Regions from separate parts of the Mus musculus genome. Here region 2 is reported to be linked to region 1. The links are microRNA targets in miRTarBase. Many come from high-throughput screens and were not tested one by one. Region 1 holds a microRNA gene; the other region holds the end of a gene's coding sequence.

Region 1 (5,308 bases):
CACACACACACACACACACACACACACACACGAGACACAGACATGCATACATGCCCACATGCATGCAAAACACCTTCACACATAAAATAAAAATTAGCATTAGGACATGAAGAAGAACATGTCCAAGTCTCAGCTTACTGAACTCCCTGGCACCTTCTTAACATTCTACATAGTACATTCTAGTTTTCAGTGAAAGGTGCATCTAGATGTTTAAGGCAGATGTCCCGGAGATGTCCACTCCTTCCTTTGTCTCTTCATATATTCAGTTATGTGCATGCCATACCTCTGTCCAGTTCTCACACCTTTCCCTCGTCCTCCTACTGTATCCTTGGGAGTCCAAGCTTATGGCTTGATTGGACTCTGTGGCTGGGCATCCTGGCCAGTCCCTCCAGTGTGCCCACTATTTTTACAAGCAAACCCACATCTCAGATGGCATCAGTCACTATGACTTAAATGACAGCTCCCGATGGCCTGCAAAGCATGTTTCAGTGACCCCCTTCTCAAGACTTTACTTCTAGTTCATTCCAAGCCAGAATCCAACAGTCTGTTTTGTTTCCTAGCACAGAGCTTATTCCTGCTTGGGATACCACCTTCAGTTCCTTTCTCTGTCCATTCACATTCCACTCATCATACCAAGATCATTTCCAGTGCCTTCTGCTGTGTCCAACCTCTCCTGAGCAGCTCTCAGAACAAAAGATAACCTCTTCATTTCCCATATGCACCGCCATTACACCCTACTGCAAGTTCACGTCTCCTAGATTAGTAGTGAGCAGCGGGCCAGAAACTATTTTCTTCTTTCTCTGTACAACACTTAGAAGATACTTTTTCAATGTCTCCTTTAATTCCATTAAATATATCAAGTTTTCATGGTAGAAATCAGGTGTTAAATAAAATGCCTGCCTCCCAAAGACCCCCATCAATGTCAGAACTCTAGATCCTTGAAGGAGCTGTTTTGTGTTCCTTCACAGCAGAAACTCTGTACAAAGTAGGGGGTTTGATATTTGCAGAAGAGGAAAGGTAACTGTAAGATAAATAGCAAGCAAACGTATAGGGATAAAAGGGGATACTTAGCAAGGAGACTTCCACTCAACGTAAGTTGCAAAAGAAATCTTGTACACACTCCATCACCATGCAGGTAGCCAGAGAAATATCTACGAGCACCCTAGAAGCCAAAGCAAGGCAGCTTTGCCAACAAGTCACAGATCCTATGAAGCACGCGCAGGCCTCCACCCATCTGGTGCTTGTTCCAGAGTTCTCCCCACCTCCCACCACTCCCCTAAATCAATGTGCTAAAGACCAGTGGGAGAGAGTAAAGGCTCCCTAGAGAGGTGCCGAGGGTGGACAGCTTGATCCAACAAGCCAGGCTGCTGCGATGTTACAAGTGAGAACATTTAGTCCTGGGTGAAAAAAAAAAAAACCGAGAAAGAGACCAAGAGATGACAACTTGGGGAGACATTTGTTTTAAGAGAAAAGTTGTCAAAACACAAAGAGAAAATGAAAAGGGGGAGCCAGAGGAGGATTTGCAAAATAGAGGGCACGTGATTTACGAGACCCTCCCCAAAAAGGGCTGATACAAACTGAGGTAAGACAGGTCATGTTAAGTCGTGATATCTAAACTATGCAGAAAGTTGGATCAACTTCAAGAGCAGCTAGGAAGAGCAGGACACTCAGAATCTGCCTCTTTCCTTTCTTCTCAGAGAATGCGCCTCCCCAGGAAGGAAGCAGGTCTCCAGGCTGGAGGGAGGCAGTGCCATCCCAGCTAGACACGTCTCTGGTAAAAGTCCAGGGCTCAAGGCCAAGGCCACCCCTTCAGTCCTGGCTCCAAAGCCCACTTACTCCGTACAGCCCCAGAAATCTGGGTACAGAGAAGAGATTCTCTAAGGAGGGGGATCGTTTCCAGGACTAAGCATGTGTTACAGTCCCCAGAAATTGACCCCTAATATAATATTCAAAGAATTTCCCATAATGCCCACTCTGTGATAAACACTCACCAGAATGAATCTGCACAGGCAAGCTATGCCACTAACTGATCATGTCCATGCTGAGCAAGTCTGCTGATCACCCCAGGCTTTGGCTTTCTCAGCTGTGAAGTGGGAAGGATTCTACTGATAATCACGTGTGTCTCACAGGGTGCTGTGAAGTCCCTGGTCCCCAACCTTGATAGTACAAATTGAGTTTCTCATGTTTTACTCCAGACCAATTTCATCTGACTCTTTAGGGCTGGGGCCCAAGTATCAGCTGTCAATTAAAAAAAAAAAAAAAAAAAAGCAAAAACAAAACAGAAACTTTCCGGGGCTGAAGAGATTGCTCAGTGGTTAAGAGCACTGGCTGCTCTTCCAGAGGGCAAGTATTCAATGCCCAGCTTCCACATGGCAGATCACAACTCTGATTCCAGGGGATCTGACATTCTCACACATACCACACAAAATACTAATATACATAAAATAAAAATAAATAAATCATTCTTTAAAAAAAAAATCCTCCCAAAGATTAGACTAAGCTGCTTAAGTAGGGGACTGTTGCACCACTCCAACATGACAAGGTTGACTAAAGCCAGTACAAATCATGACAGGATCACGGCTCACATGAACTGGGGGTGGGGTGGTGGGGTGGTGGGGTGGGGGAGGGGTAGAACTATTCCAAGTTGGCTTAGGTGCATGAAGCATATCGCCCCCATTCCAGCAGAATGTAGAGCATTGGTTAGCTCCTTTGATGACAAGTGGAAATTGGAAATGCTCACACAGTCTAGCCTGGGTTTCTTTGCTCAGCAGACCAGCTTTGAGCATGGTACCTTTCCGAGACCACAAGCCCAGCCCATGACTAAGCCATTATCTTCAAACTCCCTTCTTAACCCAAAGGCCATCTTCAGAGAACCAGGACAGGAAATGTGAGCCCCACAATTGCACTGAAATGGAGAGAGAATGCAATTTCCAACTGGGGAGCTACCGCTGGCCTTTGTCTGGCCAGGAGCAGGTCACAGGGCAGGGGGTGCAGTGGGGGTCGGGTATTTGTGATGAAAGCAGAAGGCAGAGACTGCTTCAGGCAACATTTTCAGCCTGGTCTTGGGTTGAAAGCGATGCCTGAGCTGGCCTTTGACTCCCAGTTGGCAGCTTTGCCGCCGGGAGCTCTTACCTTACAACAGCTGTAATTTTCAGGTTTCTCCATCTGAATGCACAGAAACACTTTTCACACCAATTACCCTAACTTGGAGATTCCTGGGGTCAGACTTGTGCTCATCACCTGCAGACTCCTCTGAACTGATGTGAGCTCAGGCGAGCAGAATACAAGGCTCACCATGCAGCTCACATACTATGTAGAATTATCAGACATGCTGGAAACTAACTGGTAAGTTATGCCTCTTCTTTGAAACAAAGATTCGAGAGTATGAATCGAGAATCTATTTTATCTTTTAAAACTAGTTTAAAAATCCAGAAGCGCTAAGGGGTGATCTAATTGTACCTAATTCAATACTAGAGTCAAATGTCTTATACTACGTGTGAATTTTATGTTGTTTTGCCTTCATGGTAAACGTCCTGGAGAGGTCAGGGAGACACAGGATATACCTGAACATAAGAAAAGCAGTTTGCAGCAAGCCCATAGACAACACCAACTTAAACAGAGAGAAACTCAAAGCAATTCTACTAAAATCAGAAAGAAAACAGCGTCGTTCACTCTCCCCATACATATTCAATATAGTACTTGTAAGTCTGAGCCACAGCAAGAAAACTACTGAAGATGAGATTAGGGGGATAAAAATTAGAATAGAAGAAGTTAATATTAATAGTATATAAGTAAATAAATATATATTCTAACCAAATATATAGTATATAATTATTTATAGATGATATAATAGTATATAAATGAATATATATTATAATTAAATATATAGTATATATTTATTTGTAGATGATATAATAGTATATAAATGAATATATATTCTAATTAAATATATAGTACATATTTATTTGTAGATGATAGAATATTACATTATCAGTGACACTAAAACTTCCACCAGGAAACTCCTATAGCTAATAAACACTCTTAGCAAAGTAGCAAGATACAAAATTAACTCACAAAGTTAGTTGTTTTCCTATACACAAATGACAAACAGATTGAGAAAGAAATCAGGAACAGCATCCTTCCCAATAGCCTCAAAAAATATAAAATATCTTGAGGGTAATTCTAACCAAGTAAGTGAAAGACTTGGATGATAAAAACTTTAAGACCCTGAAGTAGGAAACTGACTACGGTATCAGAAGATGGAAAGACCTCCCATTCTTGGTACCAGCAGGTACTTTGCATACTACTAAAGAAGTGTGAATGCCAACCCAACTACAGACCCTTTGACCCACAATGATGTCCTTCCTGCAAAATACAGTAGGGAAACGCTGGCACAAAGATTACAGGAGTATGTTAACAATATCTGACTTGACTCCAGGCTCATTCCAGGTGATAGAACCCATACATGACACTGCTCAAGTGCCCAAGAACCGGAGACTAGATAGCCCAGGGACCTAGGGGTAAACAAAATACTACTGTTCACTATAGGAACATAGCAACAAAATGTCCTAACAGCATTCTGCTATATTCATAGATCAGTGTCTTGCTCAGTTGTCAACAGAGATGTTTCTTCCTGCTGTAGATGGGAACAAAGAGAGACCCGCAGCCAGACAGTATGCAGGGAGTGAGAGAGATTAGAATGTTCCCTCCTAATTGGATTGTCCCCATCAAATCCCTCCCCTCGGGGTTCAGGGAACCCTGTGGATGAGGAGGCAGAAAGAATAGAAGACCAGGAGGGATGGAGGACACCAGTAAATCACGGTCTTTTAAGTGCATCAGGACCAACTCAGAGACTGAGACAGGGCGCACAGTCCTTCCATATCCACATCGGATGGGGTACTAAAGCTGAAAAGAGAAGTAGACCCATGACCATCCCTAACCCTGAAAATACCTCCGAATGATAACCACTCGTAAATGAGAATTTAGGTTTTCTCTCAGGGAGGCTCTTGGGAAACGAGCTTCTCTCATGGATAGCGGACGCTTAACAGTAAACGAACTCAAACGTACAGCTTTGGAGTTTCCAACTCTCATAATGCCAGATGGGAGGCTTTTTTCTTATTTATTTTTTTACCCTACAGAACTTTTATACATATATACACATATATACATACATATATATCTTCCTGTTTAATGGGATTCCTGAATGTGCAAACAAGTGGGTCTCTGCATCTCTCTCTGTCTCTCTGTCTCTCTGTCTCTCTGTCTCTCTGTCTCTCTCTCTCTCTCTCTTGTGCCCTCTTGAACCTTT
Region 2 (5,308 bases), not on the chromosome of region 1:
TCAAGATTTAGTGCATTAAGAAAATCATTATCCAAGCCCACACTAAAGGAGATTGGAGAGAAAATTTCTGAATCTTGATGTTGGATGCTAAGTGTCTCTTGTATGTGTTTTTGTTTTTATTTTTTATTCATTCACTCTCTTCTGCGTCTTTCGTAAAGTGGTGAGACACAAACCTTGTGTGGCCTCATCTGGATCCAAGCTTTTCCTCATGGCTCGTTGCTAAGTGTACTTGTTTTCTAGGACTTGCTGAAAATATTACCACAGATGGAACGGCTTAAAACAACAGAAATTCCCTCAAAGTTTATTCTCTCATAGCCCCGGAGGCCAGAAATCAGAAATCTAGGTGTGGGGAGGGGAGTGCTGGTTCTTACAACTCCAGGGAGGAATCCTTCCTTGCTTCTATGCCTCTTCCTAACTAACTTGTGGTTGCCAATCCTTGACTAGTAGCTACATCACTATAATTTCCTTTGTTTTTTCCAGTCTTTTTCTCTGTGTATGTGGCTCTGGCTGTTTTTATATGGACACTAGCCATTGGATTGCAGGCCTTCCTTAATCTAGTATGATCTCATCTTAATTTAATATCCGCAAAGAGTCTTCCAAATAAAGTCATATTCTAAGGTTCTGGGTGGATATGGACTCCAGAAGGATACTATCCAATGCACTATGCTAGCTGACCTGCCCAGAACCATCTTCCTTGATAGTTGGGCATCCATTGGCAAAGCACTAAGATTGCAATGATTGTGTTTCACAAAGATGAGACAATCTTCCTGAGCTTCCATAACTCCATTTTTTTGGTATCAGCTTCTAACAAAACAATTCTAGCATGAATAAAATGCTTAAGACATGGAGCCATTGTAGTCAGCATTATCTTTAATAGCCAGTTTAAAAATAATCTATATTTATAGAACAGGAGAGTAAAGATGATACATATATACATAATGGACAAAAAGCTATATATACTATTTACATACTGTATACATACATATATATATATATATATATATATATATATATATATATATATACACACACACACACACATATATATATAAACTATATAAAGTTTGTAGTACTGCAAATTCTACATGTTTAACAAGTAGAAGATAAGTATTTTATTCCAATAATAAGTACGTTATTGTAATTAAGCTTTAAGAAGCAGAAAACCTTAACTCTCTAAACTCCATTCAAGAAAACCATTCAGTTGCATCATCAGAATATTAGTGCTCCTTGTGGTCTACCGGTTGAGTAAAGCTATTCTAGTTGTGTATTTCTGTATCACAGCTTCACAACTCAGCAGCTCCAAGCAAGGCCAATCAGTTATCTTGCGCATTAATTTACATCTTGGTCAGGAGGAGTCTATATGGGCTGATCCTCTCTGCTCCATGTGATCACAGCTGGTATGACTCAACCGGGACCAAATGATCTGTTTTATAAAATAGAATAGAAGCCCAAATGTGGTAGCTCACATCTATAATCCCAGTGCCAGGGGAGGCCGAGGCACCAGGATCATGAGGGTTTGGCCAGACTTGGATATATAACACGATCCTTCCTAAAGAGAAAAGGCGTTCTGTCAGATGGGGAGCTTGGTTGTCAGCAAGCCTTTACTTCCTGCCCCGTTTAGAGTCCTTACCTTTTCTCACATCATGGCTACCTCATTGTTAGAAAAGAGGTCCCAAGAGAAAGAATGTGCAAACTTCTTAAGGCCAGGGCCTCACCTGGGTCATGTTTAACTGGTCAAATTGGTACAGAGCCAGTACAAATATCAACAAATTGTAGTCATGTATTTGTGAGTAGAAAATGAGTAGTTAAATCTATCAGTATGGCCTATTTTCCTCCATTTTTCCCATTTTATTTGATATGTATGAGAGTTTCGTATGCATGGATGTCTATATGCCATTTGTGTTCCTGGTATTCATGGGGGGCAGAAGGAAGCATTAGATCTCCTGGAGTTATACACACACACACACACACACACACACACACACACACACACACACACAAAACTTCACAAACCCATGCACGTGTGTATAAACGGAGGTGACAGTAGGAAGGTACGTGCGCAATCATGAGAGCAGAGGAAGAGACTGCTCGAGTGAACCATGCTCAGGGAAAATGATATGGACTCCCACCTCTAAAATCAGTAAGAAATTCTCCAAGCAGACAGGGAAGGGAGAGGGTAACAAGGGCAAGGATTCGGGAGTTGGAGGTTAGCATACCTTCTGTACAGAATGAGGCTGGACCTCAGGAATATGTGAGATTGGTAGAAGTCTATACAAGGAAGGCACAAGAATCTCAGTTGTCTATGCCACACAAATGGATGAGAACTGCTGACTCCGAAAGGTTTCTGGCAAAGGAATAAGATGACAGATTTAGGGTTTGAATCGATTTAATTTAGCCAGATTTTTGGTTTAACTCTGAAGTTAATCATGGATAGACTTGAGAAGGGCCAGATTGAAAACAGAAATTAGTTGGGAAGGAGACTCTGGAGCAATGCTGATGGCTGAAAGAGGGTCTAAATTGTAGTTAAGAGAAGGGCAAATGTAAGAGACTTACAGAGCATGTGCAGAAATGGTGCATAGTTAATGAGTTAGGAAATGGGAGTTAGCATAATGACAAGGGCTTCCAAGTTCCTCCTTCGAGCAAACAGTTAATCACAGTAGGGGGCATAAGGTTTTATGGTAGCAGGCAATGAGTTCTGAGGCTTGTATAGTTGGTCAGTGATGTCCTGACAGAACCTCAGGTCAAATGAACACTCTCTCTTTGTTCAGTCCTGGTTCTAAGGTCCTTTCTCAAGAAATTCAAAGCTGAAATCCTTATATGTGTGCCACCCTTCTAATGGAAGAAATAATTCTCTACTCAGCTCCAAAGGGACACAGAATCTCAAACACGGAAAGGCCCACCCACATGTGAATAGTAGTCAGAAATTCCTGCTCACGTTTGTCTTTCTCTGTCCTGCAGTCAGAGTAGATGTTGCCATGACCACTATGATCAAGTGTTTATTCGCACTCAGGACCACCTCAGCAATCTCTGGATGTACATGCTGAATACGGTGTGATGTTTACGTTGGCCATGGGGTGGTGGTGGTGATGACATTATGTGGTAACCTTTGATAAATTTCATCCTTGATGCAGTAAGTTTATAAATTCTAAGCATGTGGAACAAAGTATTGGTCTGATATTGAATTCAGATACAGTGCATCTCAATGGGAACAGGAAATTGGAGGCATTTGTTAATTACTCTAGAGAGAGACCCCAAGTCTTCACAAAGCCCTCCATGGCTATGACCTTGTATAGACTGACTGGAATCCCTTGTAACTCATCAAAGCTGATATAGTAGTTGTACCATCATGAGGTTTTTGTGGGAATCCAGCTGTTTAATGCAGGAAGGCATGGTAGTACTTACCTTGTATCCCATATTTAGCCAACACTAGTTCTTTCTCTTATCACCTTTGTCATGTCGTTATAGGCTTAAGTCCCAAGGAGAAGAAGATGGGTCGTAAGTGAAGGTAAAAGGACAAGAATGAAGTCTCTAAAGTTTTATCTTTTGATAAAACATCTACTCTGGTCTATGGCCACCACCATCCTTGGAAACTTTAGTAATAAAAGAGCCAGGTACAAATTTGCTAAAATAGATTTTTTTTTTTTAAGAGGAGTGGGATGAAGTGCAGAGAAACCAGGATTTTGGGGCATGCTTTTGGCTTATAATGAATTTTATAATTATTTAATTCACTAGAGCAATATAAAAACAGGAAGGTAAAAGACAAGAATTAAAACTCAATTGCCTAGTGGGGCTTACTTAACATGCAAAAATGACCCATGTGTATGGGAAAGTAGCCCACAAAAGTTTATTCTATTGACTCATTATTACTTTGGACAAACTACCAACATTTGTTTTCATTTTTTACTCACAAATACAACTTTTAGAATGATTCTTGATTTTTTTTTAATTTCTACAGCCCTTGTACTTTCAAAGCACTCCCATGCCTTTCTAATTGACTACTGACAAAAATATAAGACAAAGTGATATTGCTAATCATATCTGAAAATAGCAAATATTTAGTATAGATTTACTATACTATAGGTGCTGTGCCAAGCCTCTATACCAGCATTTCCTTTAACCCTCCTGACAAACCCACGGGGTAAGTATTACCATCATGAGGCCAGAAGAGAGACCCCCAAGGCAAAGCTCCCCCCATCCCCCTCCCCCCCTCCCCATCCCCCCGCAGTGGTCTGACTTCAAAGCACACTCTTCTGCTCTAAGCATCGCAGGCTACAGTGAGGCATAATCAGATGCATGCTCTTTCCTAGCACAGCCATGGGCCGGTTTGATCTCATCTAATTATTAACAGTCATGTAAACAGCTCTGTGACACTGGATGGAAATATTAAGCCTTTTGATTCCCTATTTCCATATTATGTTCCTAGATTAGTTCAAGATAGACATACAGCACATTTGTACACGTTCCCATCAATGGGAATCTGTACAAGATCAGTAATTGTTATCAAAGACTCAAAATACCTAAAATACTTAGTAATAGGCCGAGTCTGTTCTTTTTTACATGGAGCACAATCTAATGATCGTAGCTAAGAAATGTAAGAAAAAGCAGCATCAAGACTTATAAATCTTTGAGCAACTCCATAACAGAAAGGACAAAATCTGTTTGTAAAAATGTATTTTTATTTCATAAGCATTGGGGAGGGGGTTGAAAAAAAAAACACTGTATCCTATCCTGTTGCTCCATGCAAATAGCTCTTCAACGAGATTCTTCAAATTTTACGTTTTTTCCATTCTGGTTCATTCTTTGACTCTTCATCATCAGACTCCACTTGGGCAAACATGGTTTTTGGCTGAGTTCTAAAACAAAAGTTAAAAAGAAGAGGAAAACGTGAGTTGGTTCTTGTATTAGATATTGTCTCTTTGATCAAGCAGGAGCAAGTCTGGGGCACTGATTGCATTTCAATTATTAAATATAAATCATTAAACTTCTGGCAAAAGAAAAGCATAGTGAAAATTTAATTATGTTCAGGAAAAGAGCCAAATATTTTTTGAAGGTTTTCCCTCAGTGGCAGACACTTTATGTTTGTCTTTCCCCAGTGGACCCTCGTGCATCTCTGCCACACTGAGCCCAAGTGTGACCATTTGGAAGGATACGCCATATGGTCACCACACAAGACCCTACATGGCACTTACCTGCACCTACCCAGGCTTTTAGACTTCAGTAGTGCACGTGACTGTGGTGCAAATAGGAGAATTTGAAATCACAGTTTTCTTATCTGGCAAGTTTCAAATAATAACAAACATGCAGTGGC

Evidence for each region. Region 1 holds the annotated microRNA mmu-miR-694 (CUGAAAAUGUUGCCUGAAG, at 3,037-3,055, opposite strand). A microRNA usually pairs through its seed, bases 2 to 8, with sites in the 3' UTR of a target mRNA and lowers its output. Matches are read on the target gene's strand: a 7mer-m8 pairs with bases 2 to 8, a 7mer-A1 pairs with bases 2 to 7 and ends in A, and an 8mer does both.
Region 2: miRTarBase lists Wdr70 as a target of mmu-miR-694. Seed matches in the 3' UTR shown: 7mer-A1 at 4,702-4,708.

Annotation. Positions count from the first base shown.
Region 1 is chr18:66,216,240-66,221,547 of GRCm38, forward strand. Mir694 (microRNA 694) reads right to left here and starts at 3,094; the gene lies at 3,025-3,094. All of the region lies in intron 2 of Ccbe1 (collagen and calcium binding EGF domains 1), which reads right to left.
Region 2 is chr15:7,868,401-7,873,708 of GRCm38, forward strand. Wdr70 (WD repeat domain 70) reads right to left here. Exons shown (of 18, transcript NM_001081402.1): 18 at 4,655-4,853. The coding sequence ends at 4,766. Among named protein-coding and RNA genes, the nearest start is that of Gdnf, 56 kb to the left of the region's middle.